Tamandua tetradactyla: one gene and its partners. The protein of the gene in region 3 purifies or fractionates together with the protein of the main gene of each other region. This does not show direct contact. Links are inferred from orthologs where the notes say so. Each region holds a gene or a part of one and is shown on either strand. Other genes may lie near its edges.

Region 1 (7,599 bases), on a different chromosome or scaffold from region 3:
CTAATCTTTGTTGGTAAATTTTATTCATATGAATAAAAGTATTATTCATATAAATATTTAGAGATTACATAAAATTCCTAGAGATTTGACAATGTTCTCACTGTCCTAATACTTACCTGCACCATATTAGACAACAGTGTGGTTTGGTCATAATTTTAGCTTTTCTTAGAAATGCTACACGCCACAAAACAACCAAATTTCCTTGTCAGTTACGTTGTTTTACTAGGATGCTTCTCTGAAAATGTCTGCAGTCAGTTATAATTCAGAGCTTCATCTTCAGCCATAAAAGAAAAAAAAGGGACTTTAAATGAGAAGTAAGACAAGTATATAGATTATGTTCTACTCTGGTAAAACTGTAAAGGTAGGACAGGGTCAAAGACCACAACTGATAGTGCTCTTTTGGACGTCTTCAAGTGGAATTTATACAACTACCTCCTTCTATAGGATATGAACATGTCCTTGTTATTGTATATCTATTTTCTGGATGGATAAAGGCTTTTCCTTGTCACAAAGCTGCAGCCCTCACAGTAGATAGAAACCATTAGACTTTATTTTCTCCACCTGGGGAATTTCTGCTATTCTCTCAAGGGATAGAGGCTCCCAATTTACTGAACTTTAATCAAGGAACCAAAAGCTTCACTGTCCCTAACATATTAATTGTCAGGAAAAGTAGAATGAAAAAAATGGTACCATAAAAATTAAATTAGCTAAATTATTTGAATCCTTCCCTCTACCACGGCCTAGGGATCTTTCTTTAGCCTTGATGGCCATAAGGTCTAGCCCACCAGGAGAAGACTGGCTAACCCCCTATGAACTCATAATGGGAAGACCCATGAGGCTTATTATTTCTCCTACTTTACTGATTCCAATCTAAATATTTCACATTTACATTGTGAAGTTGCTAATTATTGTAAGGAATGAATCTCATATACTCAGTTCCACCATTCACAGATCTAGGCTGCCTTTCCCAAGATTCCTCAATATTGAACTCTACATGATCTTTAACCCGGAGGCTTGATATACTGGGATAAACATCAACAAAGAGTGCCTTAGACCTCAGAGAGAAAGGACCTTTTCAAGTCTTATTGACCACAACTACAGCCATAAAACTACAGCAGTATAACTGACCCTTGGGTCCACATGTCACAACTAAAACGAGCTCCAAGCCCTTGGAAGATTAATCCCATTTCTGACCTCAAGCTAAAATTGACACACAGATTCCAGAAACAGACAGCATTTGACACAGACAGATTCTGCCCAAGACATTGGAACAAGTAGATGGTGCCCTAGAACACACCTGAATTTTATTGTATTCTCTGTCTCTTCCTTTTCACTATCTGTCTAAATGTTCTCTTATTCATCCTACATTCCTTACAATGCCCAATATCCATCCCCAATAATACCCTACCTTCATCATGATTTTACTCTATTTCTCCCCTAGGTACACCTGCCTTGAGCACAATTCCTTTGTTCTTCTAGCACACCATATAGCAAAGGAAACCAATCAGGGTAACTGCTGGATCTGTACACATCCCCCACTTAGTCCCCAAATAAGTATTCCTCTAATAACCATCCCCCTTACACTTGCAGACTTGGTCTGACAGGAAACATCTGATACCCAGTCAAAGAGATTATTTTTGGGGAATGACTCGGGGTTGTTCCTTAAGAGCCCCTGAGACTGGGATTACCATGCGGCTTCTCTAACCCAAAGAATATGTTTTTACTAGAAAGCAGACAGACAAAAATGGCCATTTTGTAGGGATAGTATATGTTCAGTTTCTATGTGACAAGACTCCTTTTACTTTTATGAGCCAAGAGTACAATGTTGGGGCCAGTTTTCTGATACCAGTTTTCTCCAAGCACCCCAAGGTTTTAATAGCATAAGAACTTATTCCACTCAAGGCACAAATATTTCTGGTAGGCTGAAAAGCCAGGCGAGGGAAATCGTTGATTAATTGTGACTAAGATATCAGGTAACAATGAAGACGATGTTGGATTAAGATTCTCTTTTTGGTGTTTACACCCAGTTAGCTCTACACAACAATGTTCCATTCATTAAAGGCAATAGATATACCCTTATTAAACTCTTCGAGGACACTATTTTGTATGTAGACAAAAATACTACCTGTAAATTGGGTTAGTTCTTGTAATGCAACTTATGCTTTTCCCCAAATGACTACTAATGATAAGCTTTCAAAAGGGAAAATTAGAGACAAGAGTGCTCTTATGGTCTCTTCCAATACTATAGAAACTTATGAAGAGAATATTGCCAACTGGATCATAGAAAAACCCACTAGCCCAGGCTAACCTCATGGAGTGTTTTGTTCTTGGTACTGTCCCCCTTGTCATTAGGGAAGCCATCTCCTATATGGAAGATACACTAACCAATTACAGTTGGTAATAGAAAAGGTAGCTTTAGAGTTAGAAAAATCTATCTCCCACCCAGGGCAGGCATCAGCTCACTAACTGGCAAAGTATTGGAACTTTGAAAATGACAAAAGGAGTCATTTTGTCTATAAATTTAGAGGAGTCATTCCTCTACAAGGAAGTGTGTGCACTAGTGGGCACACAGTGCTTTGTATTTGTAAATGACAGTCAAAAGGAAGTTTACTAAGAGGTAGTAACAACAGAAGCCCTTGCTTGAGAAGTGTCAGTTTACACACCTCCTGAATCTGATTGGTCTGAGTCTCTTTTTGGTTGGATTCTAGGGTCATGGGGATCTTGGCTCAGAGATATTCTAATAAGGGCACTTGTCATCCTTTTAATCATATTTATAATATCCCTCATTTGTTGTCTGATTTCTGTCCTCTTAAATGCTGCTGCACAGTCACTAACTTGACAACTGATAACTGAGGATTCAAAACCACTCTGAATGGGATGAACAAAAATCTTGAACTTCAGCTAACCTATGAAAACAATAATGAAACACAAGGCTTCAAGTGGCAAATAAGAGACTAACAACATCTTTGGTAAAGCCTTTGAAACAGAGGGAATGACCATAAGAAGGAAAATTAATAAAATTATATAAAGACAGCTCTGGGGACCCTTCAGAGCCCCCAAACCCCGTGCGTTACTTCCTCTTTGAACTCTCTCTTGACTTTCCCCACCAAGGCAGCTGACCCAGATAACCAATCGATACCCCATTTTATTTGATCCAATACAAAAGGAAGCCTACCTGATCTAAACCTACCCCTATAAGACAGACAAACCCTAGTCCAATCAACAGGAGTCAAGCTATTTTTTTTTAATGTCTATAAAAATCGTTTGCCATCCCGAGAACCCAGAAACTATTTCGCTTCTTACAAGTTATCTGGCTTCTGCTGCTGCAGCAAAACTTTTGATGTCCCAAACAAAATGCCGCAATTTGCAAACTTGACCCCGTTTGTCTTTCGACAATGCCCTTCCCTACTGCCCCAAAGCAGAAATATTTGTCGGGTGCAGATGTCCAGAAAGAGACCTTGAACGACCAAGGACTGTCTTAAAAGTGATCCTGTGGGCAGGTAACCGTGGCTCAGTGGCAGAATTCTTCGCCTGCCATGCCAGTGACCCTGGTTCATTTCCGGAGCTTGCCCATGCCAAAAATAAAAAATAAACGATCCTGAACAGAAGGTGGCCTGGCCACAGTTCCAGAGATGGGGTGCTCTTTGCCTCTCAAAACAGACAGCCTTTGATGGGGCCGGTTCATCTCATCACTAGAATCAGTTACCATACCTGTCCTGAATGCCCTGATGGGGATGGGGTGTCCAGGGTAAGGGCGCATTTTTTATTTTGCAAACTTTTCAAAATAAATTTTTATTTCTGTTCCATAACCACTAAATCCAGCGAGAGGATGCTTGGTGCAGTCTCTAACCTCAATGTTTCTCTGGCTGTGCATCGCACACTCTTATTACAGGCCTCGGTGTCTACACACAGGCCTGACCTGTGTAGGCCCTTGGCTCCCTAAGCTTCTCGAGGCAAGCACTGCAACCTGCTTTCCTCTTCTTTAGGGACTCAACAGCGCCAGACACACAGCAAGCGCTCAATAAAAGTGTTTTTAATCCCATCACCACCTCCTTCAGCCGCCACCGCCCAGCAGCAAAGAGGAAGCAGAACTAGACCCAGGAGGGGGAGCGCCTCGCCGTCTCCAAGGTAACCCAAGTCAGAGACTGGGAGTGCCCGCGCACGCGCACATTCGCCCTTCCTTCCCGTAACCTCAAGAAAGCAAGCGGTAAAAACTGCCAGAAGCCGAGCGCGCATGTGTAGTTACACCAACCACCTCGACCGCCTCCGCCTTCTGTCAGTCTGTTCGCCCTACAATCTCTTTTCTATAAACTGTCCGGAAAGATTGCCCTTTTCTGGAAACTGGGCCTCGAGAACCAATCGTCGCTAGAGGGGCGGGCCGACAGGGGCGGGCCTAGGAGAGCACTGGGGCCGTCTCATTGGTTAGTGTGGGGGGGTGGGCGGAGCCAAGGATCACGTTGAGGCCCGAGAAAGCAGGCTCCAAGCGAGGCAAAGTTGGAGCCGCCGGGGGAGGCGTGGCCGCGGGGGCGACCGGGAAGGTGGTGAGGGGGCGGGTCCCGAAGCCGGGGCGGGGCGACAGTGCTCCGGGAGGGCAGCCGGCGGCCACCCGCGACGGGAGATCGCGGGAGAGGGGAGCGCGACACTTGCTGGCTGGGGAGATCGGCGCTCGGCCGGTAGGTGACTGAGCGGGACCCCGGGGTCGGCATTGAGAGAGTGGCGGGGACGAGTTGCCCCCCCGGTCCCTGAGCCGGTCGCGGCCTGGCCGGCTGCCCAGGAGCGGTGGGGGTCGGCGGCTCGACCCGGGCCCTAGCCAGACCCACCCGCGCGCGGACCCTCGGTCCTCGCGACCCGCCGCCAAACGCCGCGCGCCCTCACACGCGCTGCCGGTGCCACGGTCGCACGCCTTGCCCGCCCCGGGCCTCCAGGCCGCACTCTCGCAGGCCACACGCTTGCCTGAAGCGCGCGCAGAGGTGCTTTGCTTCCCCTTCCCCAGCACCCCCCGCCACTGCGCCCAGATGTCCCACAGCCAGGCCGCACCCCTCCTGCGCGGTTCCCTGCGCGTCCCCCAGGAGTGGGGCTCACCCCGGCACGGGACGGAAGGTGTTTTCTGCAGAAGTGCGCCTGGTGGGTGCACCTCCCACCTGGCCTTCGCTGGCAAGTTTTTGGGTCACACTCCGAGGCTAGGAGAAGGACCCAAGCCTGCCCTCGGCACCCAGAGGGGCACTGCTGGTCATGGCAGCATCCTCCCTCCTTTCTGGCCCCAGCTCTGCTCTGTAATTCTTCTGTCCTCTCCACTCAGGACATCTTATCTGTCGGCTCTGATTAATATTCCCTTCTTGGAAGCCCATCGTGGTCCTGGCAACTTGCAGCAGCTGGGCACCAGGCAGAGAGTGGCGACTTGTACAGTGCAGAGAGTCCCACCGCCCAGGAGCCTCCTTGGTGCTTGGAAACTTCAGAAAAGTGTCTCCGTCCTAGCTGAGGTTTAAATGTTGCTTTTAACCCTAAAGGGGTGATTTGGAGAATATTGAGTGGTTGTGGGGAAGGGAGGCTCAATGGAGAAAAGATAGAGAAATCAGCCGTGAAAGTGACAAAATGCTTTTTGGTAACTGGAGACAAAGAACACCCGTGACTTGATCTAAAATCAAGTGAAATTAAATATGAGAGTGGGGCCATGACACAAACTAGCAGTCTGAAGTTTATTCCAGGAAAAATGTTGAAAACCCCTTGACTAGAAACGTGGTAAATCTTTCTGAAAGATTACAGGAAGATAGTATCTTAACAGTTGTGCTATGTTTTTTTTTACTTTACTAAGTATCTTCATACCTGTAATCTCCCTTTTCCTTCAGACATATGTGTGAAAAAATAGAATGATCCTGTTTTATAGGTGAGGTGGGGGGAATGGGGTATTATATTTTTTGCCTGATACCTCAAAGGCATCATAGCTAAGACTGAGGGTGGAAACCTGAGCCTGGATCTCTTGAGTCTTCCCAGGCTCCTTCCCCTGGACCAGGACAACATAATAGGAATCAGATGCAAGAAAGAGGAACAAGTTTTTGGTGTGGTGTTTATTATCTCAACATCAGAGGACATTTAAGAGGTGCTTGTCTTGATTAGAATGTGTTTAGATTTACTCTTGTGTTTTTTAGGTGATTGTTAAAGTCAGTTACTTTGGTTTGGTGTGCCAGACTTCTAAGCTTTTCAGACACCTTTAGGACATATTCTTTGTTTTTTTGAAGGATGTGATGAACTTTACAGAAGATCTCAAAATAAAAGTAACAGTTTCTAACTTTAATTTTAGAAATAAGTACCCAGGTATATGTTCCAGTACCTTTGTGAAATCAGACAGCAAGAAACTACAAAGCTTGGAGTCATCTTCGGACTATTTTCAGATTACAGGGAGCAATTCTGAAGGGGGTTTTTCACTCATGGTATTGTCTGTTAGAGTTTGTGGGAGCAGCACCAGAGAGACCCTGCCAAACGGGCCTTCATCTATTAAACAAAACTGTCTGGTTGGGCCGTTTATCTGAACAGATGGAGATTTGGTTCCTCATTTTGATTCTCCTGTTGAACACTGACTCCTTTGTAATCTACTTGGAGTGTTTATCATTTAATGTTGAGAAGTGGGCTTGCCCTCATTAGTTGTTCAACCCTAGACAATTGTTGTGATTTTGTGTGTGTGTATGTATGTGTGTGTGTGTGTGTGATAACAGTTCATCCCTGGCCAGAGTCTCGTGAGAGCTCTGTAGAGCTGTGAAAGAGGTGAAGCTTCATCCAGGATTGTTTTCTTTGTTGTTGGCACCCTCTTATAAGTGTTCTATAACTTTGGCCTGTGAAGTCCCTTTTAATTTCCTTTTTTTTTTTTTCCTGTTTCAATGGACGGCACATGGGCTTTCTTAACAATGCTGCCTGCCTTGATGAGGAGCTGACAAATTCACATTTATTGGCCTGAGAGATGGTCTTTCTGGGGGGAAAGTTCAGAAAGTCTAAAAACCAAATTTAGTCCTATATAAAAAGTATAAATCAGCTTGATACACAAACAGGCAGCATTTTTCTACCAATGGCTTCCATCATCTCAAAGCTGTTTTTTTTTTCCTGGCAAAAGGTTAAAATGCAACTAAAATTCTGCTTTCATGATTAATAAGTCACTACCGCAGTTTTGTCTGATGCTTCCTGTTTGCACCATTTTAGCATTTCAGTTAAACTGGAAACATCTGAGCATTATGGGCACTTTTGATGGCACCAGAGTGAAATTGGTGGGGAGAGGAGGAAATCCATGCCAGTGAATTTGGGAAACTGTAAGGAGAAGCCAGCCACTCCAGCCTCTGCACGCTGAGAGCTCTTGTAACAGAAAGGATTAGAGGTTGAGCATCTTCAAGGGGCAGAGTAAGCATTTAGAGTGACGCCCGTGTAAAGGCTGCTGACTGAAATTTTGAAAGCCTTCGATTAGAAATGGAAGGCCAGGCATAGGGCAAATTGTGTAGGCTAACATTTCAGTTGAGCTGAGCAGAACATTGAAGTGTGTTGAATATGGGTCTTTAGTTCTGGGCTCATCTTCTTACCTGAGTGCCAATGCTGAGAAAAGAAATTTTTCATTAGTGC
Region 2 (7,088 bases), on a different chromosome or scaffold from region 3:
AGAAATATCCACACACATACCGTCCAACCATATTTTGAGAACATTTACATCATTCCAAAAAAAGAAATAAAAAGAAAAATCTCATACATCCCATACCCCTTACCCCTTCCTCTCATTGACCCATAGTCTTTCAATCTACTCAATTTTTACCCTTTCTTTTCCCCTATTATTTATTTTTTTTATCCCTCCCCCCCTTTTTTACTCATCTGTCCATATCCTGGATACAAGTAGCGTCAGATACAAGGTTTTCACAATCACACAATCACAGTGAAAAGCTGCACAGTTACACAGTGTTCTTCAAGATGCAAGGCTACTGGAACACAGTTCAACAGTTTCAGATACCTTCCCCTAGCCACTCCGATATACCATAAACTAAAAAGGGACATCTATATAAAGCATAAGAATAACTTCCAGGATAACCTCTCAACTGTCTGAAACCTCTCAGCCCCTGAGACTTTATTATCTTTCATTCTCTCTTCCCCCTTTCGGTCAGAAAGCTTTCTCATTCTCATAATGCTGTGTCCTGGATCATGCCCAGCAGTCAGGTCCGACACTGCCAGGGAGAGTTATACTCCTGGGAGTCATGTCTCACGTAGGGGGGAAGGCACTGAGTTCACCTACCAAGTTGGCTTAGGGAGAGAGGCCACATCTGAGTAATAAAAGAGGCTCTCTGAGGGTGACTCTTATGCATAATTATTAATAGGCTTAGCCTTTCCTTTGTATGAATATGCTTCACAGGGGCCAATCCCAAGATTGAGGGCTCAGCCCACTGAATTGGTTGTCCCCATTGCTTGCAAGAATATTAGGAATTCCCCAGATAGGGAAGTTGAACATTCCTTCTTTCTCCCCAGTCCCACAAAGGAACTTTGCAAATACTTTTCTATTTTCTGTCCAAATTACTCTGGGATATATCCCACATTACACTAACCTGTAGAAAAACAAGATCTCATGCCCTATTCAAGACTCCATGTAATTATGGTGTTCAAGTAAACTGACCAGTACAAGGCAAATTACATAAGTTCTACCTAGAATATAAAGTTTGCACTAAATAAACATCTCTCTCTTTGATCTTGAAGAGGTTGAAGTTGAAAATATGCCATTGCCTGAGTTTTGTTTTTTAAATTGTATCCATATGAAAGTTTTCTAATCTTCCTTTATTTACTTCATTATAATCTAGCACATGGTAGTTACTTATACTCAAAAGCAATATTTAAAGTTGTCAAAGTTATAATTAAGTATTTACTATAGCTTAATTTCATTCTCTAATTTGAAATAAAGTCTTATAAACTGACCAAGATGAAAGGAATTCCCTCTCAATTTATCTCGAGTGAGATAAGCCTAAGACATTTTATGAAACAAATGATTTAAAATTTTTAATTTTTCTATATAAACCTCCTTTAAAAACTGTATTTCAGACAAACATATTAAACATTAACTTCATATGCAAGGTACAGTAGTTTATAGAGAGCAAAGATAAGATCACACATAAACCTAATGTGAAAACAACTGAAAATGAAATTGAGAAAAATAAAGGCAAAAAAATTGAATAGAATACCTAAAAACAGCATCCCAGTTCAGATATTTTCCTTGTTTGGAATCTGAATGACGATCCAAATGTTGAACTGTTTCAGGATCTCGAATCAGACGCTTAAATTTCTCAACTTCTTTCTGAAAATGAAAAATGAACATAATAATGGGTTACCAATCATACAACCCTTTAAAGAAAAATTAAAGTAATTTACTACCTTTCGCTCTGTAGCTCTATCATGTTCTAGTTGACGGCAGCAAATAAGCAGATCATTAAGTGCTAAACTCATGGTTCAGAATTTCAGATCACATATAATTGTCTGTAGAAAATACATAAGCATTCAAAATTAGTTTAGACCATGGAATTAATATATAATTGTTACATCTAATTGTGCAAGAGACAAAATGTGACCAAAGGCAAATACTTTTCTTAATATTCCCACATTTAAAATTAAATTCTCTTAGAATGGGTCAAAACAGTGCTTTAACAGGAATATGAAAAAAATAAGAAAAGGATCATTTACTTTTTTTTTAAAGAGATCTCTTCTAAAGAAACATGACGTTTAAGTTGAGACATGAAAGATGAACAGAGATAGTTAAAGCACGAGAAGAGCACTCACGTCTCTTCGACAGGTTCAACTATTAAACAATACCCTTGTTCATTTGTTGTGTTCCAGGAACTATGTTAAAAATGGTACATGAATCCTCAAAACTCTTTGACATAGGAGATTAGTTTCTTTTATTATCGCCGAGGAAATGTTTGGAGAGATGATTCAATCTGCCCAAGATTATACGTTTTATAAGTGGCAGAGAGCCACGACGTGAACCAATTATATCTGACTACAGAGCCATCTGTCAATGGCAGATTTATTTCCAGAAAGATGAGGCGTAGGCAACATTGTCAAATTCCACGAAAGGATCAAATAAACCTAGCTAAGGACTAAAAAGGAACAGCTGATTTGCCAATTCAGGAGGTGGGTTCAAAGCAAGACATTCATAAGAGGGTTCAAGGCTAAATCCGCTAGGGGCGTGGAGACAAGAGAAGGTAATGGGGTGGGTGGTGGAAGTAGAGGTGGGGGGAGGTGTGGAAAGATGAGGTGAAGCAGGTGGCGTAAAGGGACACTCTGGAAGAAAACGTAAAAATGGGAGTCTGGGAGAGAGGACAGAATGGCTCAGATACGAATGAATTCTCCACCGTAGAAAGCAGAAACTTGCCTCCGCGCCCCTACCGCTGAACTGCGACGGTAACGGCACTGGTGGCCAAAGTGGTATCTCTTGACGTGGCGTTGGCTGCAGCTCAAATTCCCGATTTTCTCGCCTCCTCCAGCAGCTGCAGCTGTAGCTTCTCGAACCCGTTATCCATGCGCCTATTCCCGCTTTCGGTTAAAACGCGGCGTGACCGCGCAGCGCGGGTCTTGGGAGGAAGGGGCTCTGCTAAATCCACGCCGACGTACGCTCTGCCCATGCGCGCCAAATATCACGTGCGCTTTCCTTAGCTCAAAATACTCGTCCCAAAACACTTGGCCTCTCTCAGGAAACGCGCCTGCGCCTTTTCCACCAATGGAGAGCGAGCTTTCAATTGACGTTCGATCTCGGGCTCAGTCTCTTACACCCCGCCTCTTTGCCCTTTTCAGCCTCTCCCTTGCTAATATAAGGGCGGAAATGACGACAGTTTCAAGGAGAACGGGGGCGGGTCTCATTTCGGCGCCTTTCTTTCTCTCGCGGAACCGATTGGCTAGCGTGGAGCGAAAGAGGCGGGACAAGTTGCCGCGGGTTCAGTGCCGCGGCTGGAACCGGGAGATGCGGCGCTGGAGCTGTGGTTTGTGTTTGCCTTTACCTGCGTCTCTTCTCTTATTGTGATTCCTTCTGAGACTTCAATCATGTTGTTACCTTCGGATGTAGCCCGGCTGGTACTGGGTAAGCGCGGATGCGAGAGAGAGGGTTACTGGGCCAGGAAAAGCAGGACGGAAGGACCTTTGGGGGCCAAAGGTTTTCCCTGGGCGGGGGAGCTTAGAGGTTTTGCCTCCCCGCCCACAAGTTCAAACCTGGGGTGATTCTGCTTCAGCCGGAGGCTTTGGGCAGTTTAAGACTCTTTGTGCGGGTGCTCTTCAGAGGCTTGCGTAGGAGAGGAGGGCTGACGAGAAGCAGGGGGTGGTACACCTGGGGCCCAGATTCTGAGGGAAAAGTCAGGCCTGGGCACTTAAGTAGAGATACCTGAAAGAGAGTTGCCTACGTGACGAACAGACTGCGCTTTCTTCAACCTTCGAGTTACTTTCGCTGGTCATAGTTGGGTCCGAGCAGTCAAAAGAAGAACTTCCACCGCAGCCGCTTGGCTTTGTAGAGAGATCTTCCTGATGTCCTTCGCATATCTCGCCTTTACACAACTACGAATTTGGGACGAGTGAGGGTGATTCTCTTCTTTTCCCCGCTCTCCGTAATAATTCGGCCGAATAAGTCGATTCCTATTCCTTTGATTAACCAAAAACTTAAGAGAGGAAATGCCTTTTAATTGAATATTTTCTAGCCCTCGGTAGTTTTTCCTCCGTTTGAGGAGAGTTTGTCCCATGGACTAGTTGTCTGTCAGTGTGTATTGTCTTTGTGGGCCACCGGGTTTTGTTGTCCGTCCCCTGAAGGAAGAAAGAGGATTGTACTGCTGAGAACGTGAGACATGTAAAGCTCAAAACCTGAGCCAGTTAAACACAGACAAATGTGACACCCCTAAATGTAAGCAGCAGTGATGAAACCTCTCACAGTGTCCATAGCCTTTACTGCCATTATTTTATCATTAGAAAAACCCATTTGTCTTGTTCCTTTTTTTTTTTTTTTTTACATATCCAGCCCTGTCGAAAAACAACGGTATTTGTACGGCGGCCTTGATGAGCACGTTTGGCATGAAACATTAGAGAGAAATGGTTCCACCCCCCCGTTTGGAGAAACCAATTTAATGACTTAAGTTTAAACGAATATTTGGTTGATCTTTAGCTCGTTTTATCAGGATTGAATAAGGACGTAGTTAACCTGCATCAGTATCTGTCGTAAAAACCTGAGATCTTGTAATTGTTACATTTAATATATGTAAGCCAATCAATAGTATACTTTCACGGTGTACCTTGACATGCTTTATTTTTCCTCATTATTTACATAAGCATTTTGAGTTTTGGCAGTTTTGTAATCCAGTTTAGTTTCAGGAACCATAGTCTTAAACAAGGTTTCTCATCCTCCACAGTATTGACATTTTGGGCCAGATTTTCTTTGTTATGGGGAGGTGTCCTGTGCATTGTGGGATGTTTAGCAATATTCCTAGCTTCGACCTGCTAGATGCCAGTAGGATTCCCCCAGTTGTGACAAGGAAAAATGTCTTAAGACATTGAAAATAAGTTCTGGGGGGAAGGGTGGGGGTGGCAAAATCATCTCTATTTGAGAACTGCTAAACTTATAAAAGCAATTTCAATATCCATTTGGAATACCCCACATCAATTTGTGAATATTTCTTCTGCACAAACTGGCTGCTCTGACTTTTTACCTTTTTTAATGGATAAAAACTCCAGTCATTGTTGTCTTATCCTAAAATTCTTTCTAATCCACATTTTGTGTATTACTTCTTACTTGGGCTTTTTGTCATAGCTTCCCATCCATATAGATTCCTTCTTGCTATTCATCTTATTTACTGTTGTTACAACAATCTTTCTAAAGCATTTGCACTACATCTTCTATTTTAAAAGTTGAAACAATTTTGCACGTACTAAAACTTCAAATTGTGCAAAAGGATATATAGAACAACAACAAAATGGCAAGGTGCCCCACACTCACTGCGCTTGCTTTTTCATTTGGCATAATATTTTGAAGCTCCTTCCAAATCACTACATAAAGGTCTACCATTCTGAAACTTAGTGGCTTAAAATATTAATGTTGTTATTTGCTCATGGTTCTTACTCCCATCCATATCCACCTCCCCTTCAGCTCTTCTCTTACTTATAGGTCCCTTTTCTTCATAAAATTCCTTCAGCCAATTTTTGGGTGCCTAGTATGTTGCAAATGCTGTGCTAATTGCTAAGAATGAAGAGAAAAATAAGATCACCCCTTAGAGTCCACAAAATTAGGTTTTTTACCCTTAAAAACACTTTACTAGATACCACCTCACATTCTATCTAATGCCCTATAGCACCCTTTTACAGTTGAAGCTTATTCAAAGAACAGTGAATTCTACTTACTTGCTCTACTTCCTTATCTACCCTTCTTTCTTCAGAACACTGCACTCTGACTTGTGTGTTTCTTACTCACTACTTTACCTGAACAGCCCTGGTTACTACTCAGCTACAGATAACTATTGCCTTACTGAGATTTCTTTAAATAGTCTAGGCCAAAAATACATCAAAACATAGCTTATTGCTTCTGGCTCGCTAGTTTGGTTTATCAGTATTCATACAAAATGCTTTGTGTAATTTATCCCAATCATGCGTGATCTTAGCTTCTCAACCTCAGCAGTATGCTCACAGCATACCAAGCTATTTGCAATTTCTCCACATGTTCTTATGTATTCTATCCACTTAACCTACAGTGCTTTTCTCCTTCTCTACCTCATACACTTTTACTCTAGTTCAAATCAAACCTGATCTCTGAAACCTCTTCCAAGGTTAGTTAGTATTCTTAAATGCTCTCATAGCATTGTCTGTTACTTATTTTATTGTAGCTATGTGTTTACCTCTTTGTCTTTTTCAGTATTCTTATCTGGAATTAATGGATAGGTTTCAAGAGTTCTGGGCATAACTATTAAAGTTTATGGGCAAGTGGGGGCATTTTTATTTATGAAAAGTCCAGAACTTTCTTATATTCTGAAATAGGTTAATTAGCTTTCTGCATGAGTCATCATCCAGGAAAACATAAACCAGTCAATATGAATCTGTAATGTGGAGGGAATTTAATGAGGAAATTGGTTATATTGGTGATAGAAGAGCTGAGAGGTCAAACATAAGGTGACTCATGTTAGAAAGAGTAAGAAATCAATCTGAAGCAGGAGAACAAAGATAAATGAAGCAACCCAGAGGCTAGATTGACTGTGTGGAACATGAAAAGTGGACCTCTCTAATAAAGGAGCTGATTTCTTCTTTCTGACTTCCAGTCTCCCACCAGTGCTTCCCATTGGCCTACCGCTGCCAGAAGCCAGCAGCTATGGGTGCCTGGAAAACATTGCATGCATGGTATCAGCAGGATTGGCATACTCCCAGACGGTTCAGAGCCAGCTATCTTACCCATTTTAATATCACTGACACATTATATTTAATAATTAGAAAAGCGCACCTGTAATCATGACATTCCTCTTTGTCTGCTGAATAATATCTATGCTCATTGCCCTGACCTTTACAGCTTTCATGATGTGGACCTATTCTGTCTTTTCAGTTGTATATTTACCTGTTCTCCTTCATATTACTTTGTGCTGCATCCAAACTGAAAATGTTCCCCACACTCTGCATTTATGCTTTCCATCAACTCCTCTGGGACTCCCAACAATCCTCTTAAAATATAGTCTAGTTTTCCCCAAACCTGGTAGTAATTCCTCTGGC
Region 3 (7,955 bases):
TGGAGGGGGGCAGGTGGGCTCCCTGGGCAGGTGGCCGTGGCTGAGCTCCCGTCCTGGGTTCCGTGCCATCCCCTAGGCTCTGCTGCCCTGGGAGGCAGGTGCCGGCAGCAGGAGCCGTGCAGGGAGGTGGGGAGATGGCACCCGCTGGCCCCAGGAGCAGGGCCGAGGGGTGGGGCCCGGGGATGTGGCCCCGGGGACCTCGTGCCTTAAGCCAGGGGCCCCATTTTGGGGTACTTTCCCCGGGGTGCAGAGCACTGGAGAAAGATTTCTCTCCCGAATCCTGGCATGGGGGACCCTGGGCAGGGCAAGGATAGAGGAGCTGGGGCTTGAGTGGCTCTTGGGGGTGCGGCTGGGGGTGGTGGAAAGGACAGCAGTGGGGGCTGGGGTGCAAGGCCGGGAGCCACTCACTTTGAAGAAGGGCTCGCTCTGTCTGCGGAGGTCGGCCACCGTGAGGGCTGAGCGGGCAAAGCCCACGATGAAGGTGTCTTCGGGCAAAAGGCCATCGCGGAAGAGCCACCTGCCAGTGGAGCATGGGGAGGGCTGAGCGGACCGGGCTGGGCGTGCCCCCCACCCCAAACCGCCTGCTGGGGGTGGGGGAGGAGGCCTTGGGGGTGGGCAGAGGGGGTGGTGGGGGGCGCACTCACCAAATGGTAGGGTAGATCTTCTTCTTCGCCAGGTCACCCTGAGTCAAAGGGAACAAGCGTGGTTAAGGGCAGCTGGAGACGGGAAAGGGGTCCCCCCTCGCCTCTGACCCCGGCCCTGGACGTCATGGAGCTCTAAGCGGATCTATCTCGTCCCCATCTGTAGCCAGAGGGGCCCCGAGGTTAGGGATGGAGCTGGCCCCTGGGGCTGCGTGCCCCCCTGCGCCCGAGCCCACTGCTGTCTCGGACAAAACCAAAGGGCCACCAGCAAACAAAAGGCGACCCCATGCTCCCAATCAACTGCTGAGACAAAGAAGAGCGACCCTAAACGAGCGCCAAGAAACCTACCAGGTAGCAAAATACGTGAGGCATGGCCTTCGAAGTTTAAATTGTAAAGATGCACGGATGACCAGGAAGGGGATAAGGTGAAAAAAATATTAAGAAAATGGAAAACAAACCACCAAATCAGATCGGCCGAACCAAAAGGTGGTGCTTGAAACGGAAGACTCAGAAGAGCGAGCCCTGCAGCAAGAAGGCTTTTTAAAAGGTACACGTAAATAGGATCAGGAAGGAGAAGGGGAGAGAACCACTGACACGCAACCCAGAAGAGGAGCTTATGAACAGCCTTATGCCACGCCCAGCAACCCCACTGAAAGGGATAAGTTTCTAGAAAATTCTGACCTACCAAAATGGACCCCGAGAAGGAGGCGGGGCCCGGGTGTGTTTCACCTATGGGCTCTGCCCAAAAAAAGCAAGGAAGAGAGAATACCAGTGTGCAACAGACTCTTCCTGCAAACAGGAAGGGGAGCAGTCTCTGTTGCAGGTTGAACTGTGCCATCACCCGTCCCCCAAAAAACCAACACCACATAAAGCTATGTTTGAGCTCTAATGCCTGGACCCGTGAATTGTTTGGAAACAGGGCCTTGTGATTTTGGACCTCTGGCCTTCAGGGCTATGACACATGAGAGCGCCATGCAGAGAGTATTGGCAGTGATAGGCGCATTTAAGATGCTTCTGGTGAGGCTCTAGAAGGAAGTGACTGGCGTGACATTCAAGTGGCAGAGAACCTGACTGTATGGGGTCATAGGGTTGGGTTGGGAGTAGAAGCGGGAAGCCATGAACTTCGATGGTTTAGCTGAGGAGCTATCCAAGCAAAGCCGGGACGGCACCTCTGGTTTACTTCTGGCTGCTTCTGGGAAAATGAAAGAAATGAATCGGGGACCGAACCGTCCAACAGAAAGGAGATTTGGAAAATCTCAGCTCAGCTGGGTAGTGTCCCGTGGCGACAGGACTGAGGGGGCGGCTGCATGGCCATCTAACGCAGCAATCGAGGGGTGACTTATCAACCCTATCGACGGCCTCGGCACAAGTCAGGGATTGAGGTGGGGTTATCCAGGAAGGAACTGGGCAGAGAGCCCTCATTTCTAAAGGTGGGTCTTCCATGGAAGGTCGACAAAGTTTTTGAGAATTTTCTACTGGCAGAAACACAGCCAGCTTGGAGTGAAAGGGACAGAGACGGGACAAAATAAAGAAAGGGTGACTCCCGGGCCACCGAGGCCGAGGGGGTGGGCTGCGACCACAGCAGGCTCAGAGGGCAAAGCACGGAGCCATCAAGGACTCTCAGGCCTTGTAATGGAAGCGAATTTGCCCTATGGGGCTGTGAACTTGCTTTCGGCTGCTGACCCCTCCTCCTCCTTCCAGCTCCCCTGTCTCTGAATGGGAATGTCTATCATCTGCCTGACCCACCACTTGTATTTTTGGAAACTTGTTTTCTTAAGTCTTACAGGTTTGTGGACAGGGTGGCGATTTTAGGTCAGCGCTTTACACAATTGAGAAGGTAAACTTTTGGACTGAGCATTGATGGGAGGCCAGGATGGGGTGCATGTATTTGGCACCCAGGAGGGATGTGACTTTTGAGGGGAGGGAGGCTCAGAGAGCAGACTGCTCTGGGTTGGGCCTGTGCCCACTCACCAAATACAAATTCAAGTCCTAAGCCTGGTCCTGCCAACGTGACCTCATTTGGAAATTGGGTCTTTGAAGATGTGGGCAAACTGGACTGCCAGATTGGCCTGGAGCCAATCTGACTGGTGTCCTTATAATAAGAGGAAAATATGGACAAAGAGACAGATAAGACATGAGGGAGAAGACAGCTCTGAGAAGACAGCGGTGGAACTGGGGTGCCACCAAGAGAGCCTTTAGAGGAAGCACCACCCTGCTGACACCTGGATTTCAGACTCGCAGCCTCCAGAATTGAGAGAGAATCTATTTCTGTTGTTTGAAGAATCCCCTCCCCCCAGCCCTGCAAGCTGGTGCCACTTTGTACCTTCAGCCCCAGGAAACTAAAGAAGGCTCCCAATCTTTTTATGTGGCCAGCAGAACTTGGATACTGAAAGCATCGTTCACATGCTCAGATGCAAATGCAAAAATGCCAAAGAAAACATCAGCAGACCCAATCCTGCAATGCTAAAAAATATAATACATCAGAATCCAAGGTGGGTTTATCCTGGAAATAATGGAAGTTATCTTGGAAATACGTTGGCTTGGTATTAAGAAAACAAAAATCAATCTTTGAAAACCACCCCACTGACAGATTAAAGGAGAAAAGAAAACACTAGAAAAAATCTTTGCCTGCTCTATAGGTTGATGTTTTTTTAAACTAGCAACGTTGCTAAACTCAACAGATGTAGAAAAAGTGCTCCAGACAATTAAATATCCAGTCATGATAAAAGCTCTTTTAAATTAGGAAAAAAAAGGAAATTTCCTTAACCGGTTAAAAAAACAAAAAACAAAAAACAACAACCTATGGATGTCATACATAACGTGGAAATGTTGAAATATTTTCTTTTAAGAAACTGGGAACTAGAAAAGAATGCCCACTATTGGCTCTTCTTGTCAATGATGAACTTGTGGTCCTAGCCCGTGCAGTAAGGCAAAAAAATGGAAAAGGTATAGGGATTGGAAAGGAGAAGCCAAACTGGCCTTGATTTGTGGGTGAAAGTCTACCCAAGTGAAAAAACAGAAACTCCCGGCAACCCGCTGATTAATTCACAGAATTAAAGAGAGTTTAGCAAGGTTCTTCCCAGAGGAGAACTAAGTAGAGGGAGCATGTTCTTTCATCTGCCAAAGCTGTAATTAAGAGAGCGTGGGGATTGCGTGGGGGTGAGAAACCCACGCTCCTTTGGAGTGCTTCTAGTCACTGGGGAGAGAATATTCTAAGCAGTGCAGGGGAACTGACAATGATTACCAGAACTTGCATCTTGACTCTTACCAGACCAAAGAACAGACTCCTGGGATTAAGGTCCTGACTATGAAAAGCAAAATTAAGCTTTGAAGCTTCCCTGCAAAGACCTATCTGATTTTAAATGAACCAAACACCCTATCTAACAGGCTATTGTGGAAACAACTTTTCTTTTCCAGGCTTTGAGGCGATTTGGGAGATGTATCTGGCCTGAGCTATCTGATCCTCTCTGAGCTCAAAGGAATGTTCTAGAAGGCAGGTGTAATGACACTCCCCGCCTCAGCCCAGCATTGCCTGTGGAGAGGCTAAGTGCCAACTCATTTCTCCTGCACCCCCACCAGAGGCTTTTAAAAAGTTAAAAGTCACCCTAGACCCCCAAATTAAAATAATGACCTGGCTGGGTCATGGTTTGATGAGTCTACGTCTCTGGGACGGTTGCAAGATGTAGGACCGAAATCAAAAGAATTCCAACCCTGTTAAAATCCCGCCTACCCTGCCCTGCCCGAGATTGGTGGAAAGGTGCTTGGGGGGTTCTCCTGGTGGGGAAGTTTCCACACTGTGCCTCCGCCACACCTGCCAACTACTCACTCTTTCTACCCTGTCTTCAGGCACGAGATGGGTTAGGATGCCCCCGTCAGACCTTCTTGCCCATTGCCTGCCCTCATGGTGGTCCACTGTGGCCAAAGTAGGTGGCCTGCTTTGGGCCTGCTGGGTGGCCCTTGGACTTGCACCTCTGGGGGCACCTCCACCCAGCACATCAGGGGCTGTCCTTGCACCGCCATCCTCTCTGTGTCCCCCAGCACCCGCTGGGGTGCTCCTCAGGACGCACTGGCAGTGTCTGCTGCTGGGGGGCATCTACTCCTATCACGGGGGCTTAGGGTTGTCCCCCCACCCCCAGTTCAGAAAGGACCAGCCCACTGGGAACCAGCACTGTGAACCATGGTCTACAATCATTTCTAAGCCTTACTCACTGTGAGTCTTGTTTGCTTATGATTAAATTCCAATAGGTTGGGAGAAATCAGAAGAGCCTGGGCTATTGCCTGCTGAGTCATAGCCCGCCCCACACCCCGAGCTGTTTGTTCTTGCTGTTCCCTTTGGGATTAACTAGTGATAGAACCTGCTTGCCTTGTTTCGGCTTCAGCCCCTCCAACCCACACCCTGCTTGTCTGCAGTCACCCAACAGAGGAGAGGTAGGATGAGGAGGTGCTGGTGGTGGCGGCGACGGCAGTGGGGGGTGGCCCAGGCAGACCCATACCCCCCTCCTGGCCAGGGGATACAGGGGCCAAGCTGCTCTCCCCAGCCCAGGCTTGGGGGTGTCAGGCCCTCCGCGCTGTCCTGCGCTGACTCTCTCGGGATCCTTTTGGAGGGTCAGACACGGGAAGATGTTAGGAAATCTCACGGCTTGGTTGATAAAATCTTTCTAACCGCAGCCACATGTGGGGGTTGGGGTTAATTGAAGGGTCCATGGTGAGAGGAGGGCGGGAGCTCCCCATCTTTCCCAATCCTCTCATTTTGCCTAAGGACCATGGGGCGGGGGCAGGATATGCCCAAGGCCATGTGGTAAGTTCATGGGAGGACTAGAAGTGATTAGGATGTCAGGCCACATGTTATCTGGCCAGACTGGGGCAAAGGGACCTTGGCCCCCTTTGGTCACTGTTCAAGACTCTGCCTGAGACTTGGCCTCAGCTTCCTGTGGAAGAACCTAAGATAGTTGACCCAAACCACTGCAGATATCTCTCTAGTATTAGGGGTTCAGGGCCCAGAGTGTGGCAGCTAAGAGCCCCAGAGAGCGGCTGCCTGCTGAGACCCATGACCCCTTCCCTCTTTGGGTCATGCAGGTCAGGAAAGAGCCCAGCACTGTGGGGTGGGGCCTTGGCTCAGGCCCAGCTGGCTCCTGATCACCAGGGAGTGAGAACCTGGGGGCTGGCAAGGAAAGTGCCACCCTGGGGCTCGTGAATCACAGGCCTTTGGGGGCGTGCCAACATCATCGTGACACAGCAAGAATTTTATCGGCCCAATGTGTGTGTGTGGGGGGGACTGGCCCAGAAATGTTCCGAGGAAAGGGTGGGGCTGGGGTTGCCAGGGCCATCTCTCCCGGGGCCAGAGTGGGCTGGGTCATGGGCACCCATTCAGTCCTGAGCCCTTGGGATCCAAGTGGGGAAACTGAGGCCCAGAGACGTGAGGAGCTTGTGGAGGAGTTGAACTTGCCCATCCTATTCTCCCCCTCTCCTATTACTCCGTGCCCCACCCCCCTCAATTTGAGGAGGTCCCCTCTAATGGGAAAGGAGGTGCTCTTCAGCCTTGATTAATGTTACTAGTTGGGGGAAGACATAGCCTTCAAGGTCCAGGGTTCTTTCCCCCATGTGGGTCCATAAGGAGAAATAAGCTTCTTCTATTCTAGAGCTTTCTAGACCAGAATCCCTGCCACTGGGACATTTAGCCTCTCTACTCTCACATTGGATTGGGGTGGGGATGGGGAAGGCAGTCCTGAGAAGGGGGGAAGTGGCCACTCGAAGGGGGAACAGCAAGTGGCTCGAAGCCCATTTTGTAACTCATGAGCCGAAGTCAGGCAGTTTCTAGGAAGGAAGCTGGGTAAGCGTTGGGTAAGTGGGGGCAAGGGAGGTGGAAGGGGAAGCTCTTGGCCATGTCGCCGGCCCCCAGGGTGCCTGGCAGCCACCAGCCATCCCTTGCAGCTTGTTCTTGACTTGAGGTTTAGCCTGTGCCCTTGCCTGTCCTCAGGGCACACAATGCTGGGTACAGAAGATGCACTCAGTGGGAGGCCACTGGCGGGATGAATGAGCAGAGAAGTGCTGCTTGCCTAGGGTTGTGGGTTGCAGGAGAACCGGCTCCCAGCACCACTGCAGAGGGAGGAGTGGAGAACGCCCAGGGGTGGGAGCTGTTCTAGGTGCTGCCTGAGCACCGATGCTTTAAGGGAGAGTCCCGCCCATCCTGTTCTGAGAGAGAAAGAGCATAGGCTCCTAGGAGGACCCCGTACCCTTCCCAGGGCTGGGGAGAACAAAGGGAACCTGACTGATGGCTCGAGTCAGAGTTGTGCAATGCCAGGCTGGTCGTGGGAGTCACAAAACTAGCTCGGTGGGGTCCGGGGACCCTTGGTGCTTATTTCAAAAGCCTTCCTCGACTCCCCGGAGATGCTGCGGTTCGAGCAGGGAACACTGCTGGCCCCAGGCCATGTGGCAGGTTTGAGTGCTCTCACTGAGACGTCACAGGGTTGAGGGCCTGGACAAGCCCCAGGACGCTCTCGAGGGGCCCTCAGCTGGTGTCTGGAACCTGGGAGCTCTACTGGGGCATCCGTGTCACCAAGCCAGTATGGGGGCAGGGGATGAGGAGAAAGAATGCCAAGTTACTTTCTCCCTGAACCTGTCTCTTTGACTAAGGGGCTAATGTTTGCAAGCCCCAGTGTTAAGGAGGTGTGGCTCCTTTAAGAAGCCAGAGCCCCAACCCCGCCCAAGCTCCTGGGGTGACAGGGAGTCAGAGGAGAGCACCTGGGGCGGCCCTCCCTTGCCTTTCACTTCCCATCGGTGGAGCCCTTCTCCCTCCCACTGCCTCTTGCCCTGGTTTTTGGCTTGCCTGCCTCCTCCCTTTTGACTCCTGATTCCTGATCAGAAACACACAAGTGGCAGGGAACAGGCTCTGCGGAGGGCAGTGGCAAGTTGTTCTGTGCAAAGAGCCACCAAGTTCCCCCAGCGCCGAGGGGGAAGGAAGCCCGTGACGGAGTTGCAGAGAAATGGCCTCCTGCACCTGCTCGCCGGTTTGGGTCGAAATCTTAATAAATGAACGGTCAAGGCAATTGGTTGACAGTGAACAGGTTCTTGTCACACCTAGGGGTACAAGTGAAAAGGGAAGGGTACTCTGAATTCAAGCAGAAACCCTGGCAGCAGCTCTCAGGCCCTAGGGCTTGCCTCACTGGTCAGCACACCTTGTTTCCATCTGCTCTCAGGGCAAGTAGCTAGGGACAGGGGAGCACGGCTTAACGAGGACTGTACCCCCTGCCTTCCACCTACTTTCAGAGTGCTATGCCTCTGCCTGTGCCTTTATTTTTTGTGGCCTTTCCTATC

The links. The genes of interacting proteins can lie anywhere in the genome.
Region 1: the proteins of IKBKG (region 3) and MAP3K14 purify together in Homo sapiens (affinity purification with mass spectrometry; 6 studies listed by BioGRID and IntAct, counting the BioPlex papers as one, with this or other methods). This does not show direct contact. The link is inferred for Tamandua tetradactyla from reciprocal best matches to the Homo sapiens genes IKBKG and MAP3K14.
Region 2: the proteins of IKBKG (region 3) and ATM purify together in Homo sapiens (affinity purification with western blotting; 7 studies listed by BioGRID and IntAct, with this or other methods). This does not show direct contact. The link is inferred for Tamandua tetradactyla from reciprocal best matches to the Homo sapiens genes IKBKG and ATM.

The regions. Positions count from the first base shown.
Region 1 is NC_135332.1:22,168,550-22,176,148, forward strand, and holds the start of MAP3K14 (mitogen-activated protein kinase kinase kinase 14), read left to right. Parts: upstream 1-4,563; 5' UTR 4,564-4,673; intron 4,674-7,599.
Region 2 is NC_135334.1:33,611,642-33,618,729, forward strand, and holds the start of ATM (serine-protein kinase ATM), read right to left. Parts: upstream 3,037-7,088; 5' UTR 2,757-3,036; exon of another isoform or gene 2,743-2,756; intron 1,848-2,742; 5' UTR 1,818-1,847; coding exon 1,746-1,817; intron 1,669-1,745; coding exon 1,556-1,668; intron 1-1,555. Other genes in the region: protein NPAT, read left to right, coding at 3,408-3,444.
Region 3 is NC_135353.1:6,923,287-6,931,241, forward strand, and holds the start of IKBKG (NF-kappa-B essential modulator), read left to right. Parts: upstream 1-4,955; 5' UTR 4,956-5,069; intron 5,070-7,955. Other genes in the region: G6PD (glucose-6-phosphate 1-dehydrogenase), read right to left, coding at 409-517, 645-682. UniProt on the Homo sapiens protein: Regulatory subunit of the IKK core complex which phosphorylates inhibitors of NF-kappa-B thus leading to the dissociation of the inhibitor/NF-kappa-B complex and ultimately the degradation of the inhibitor.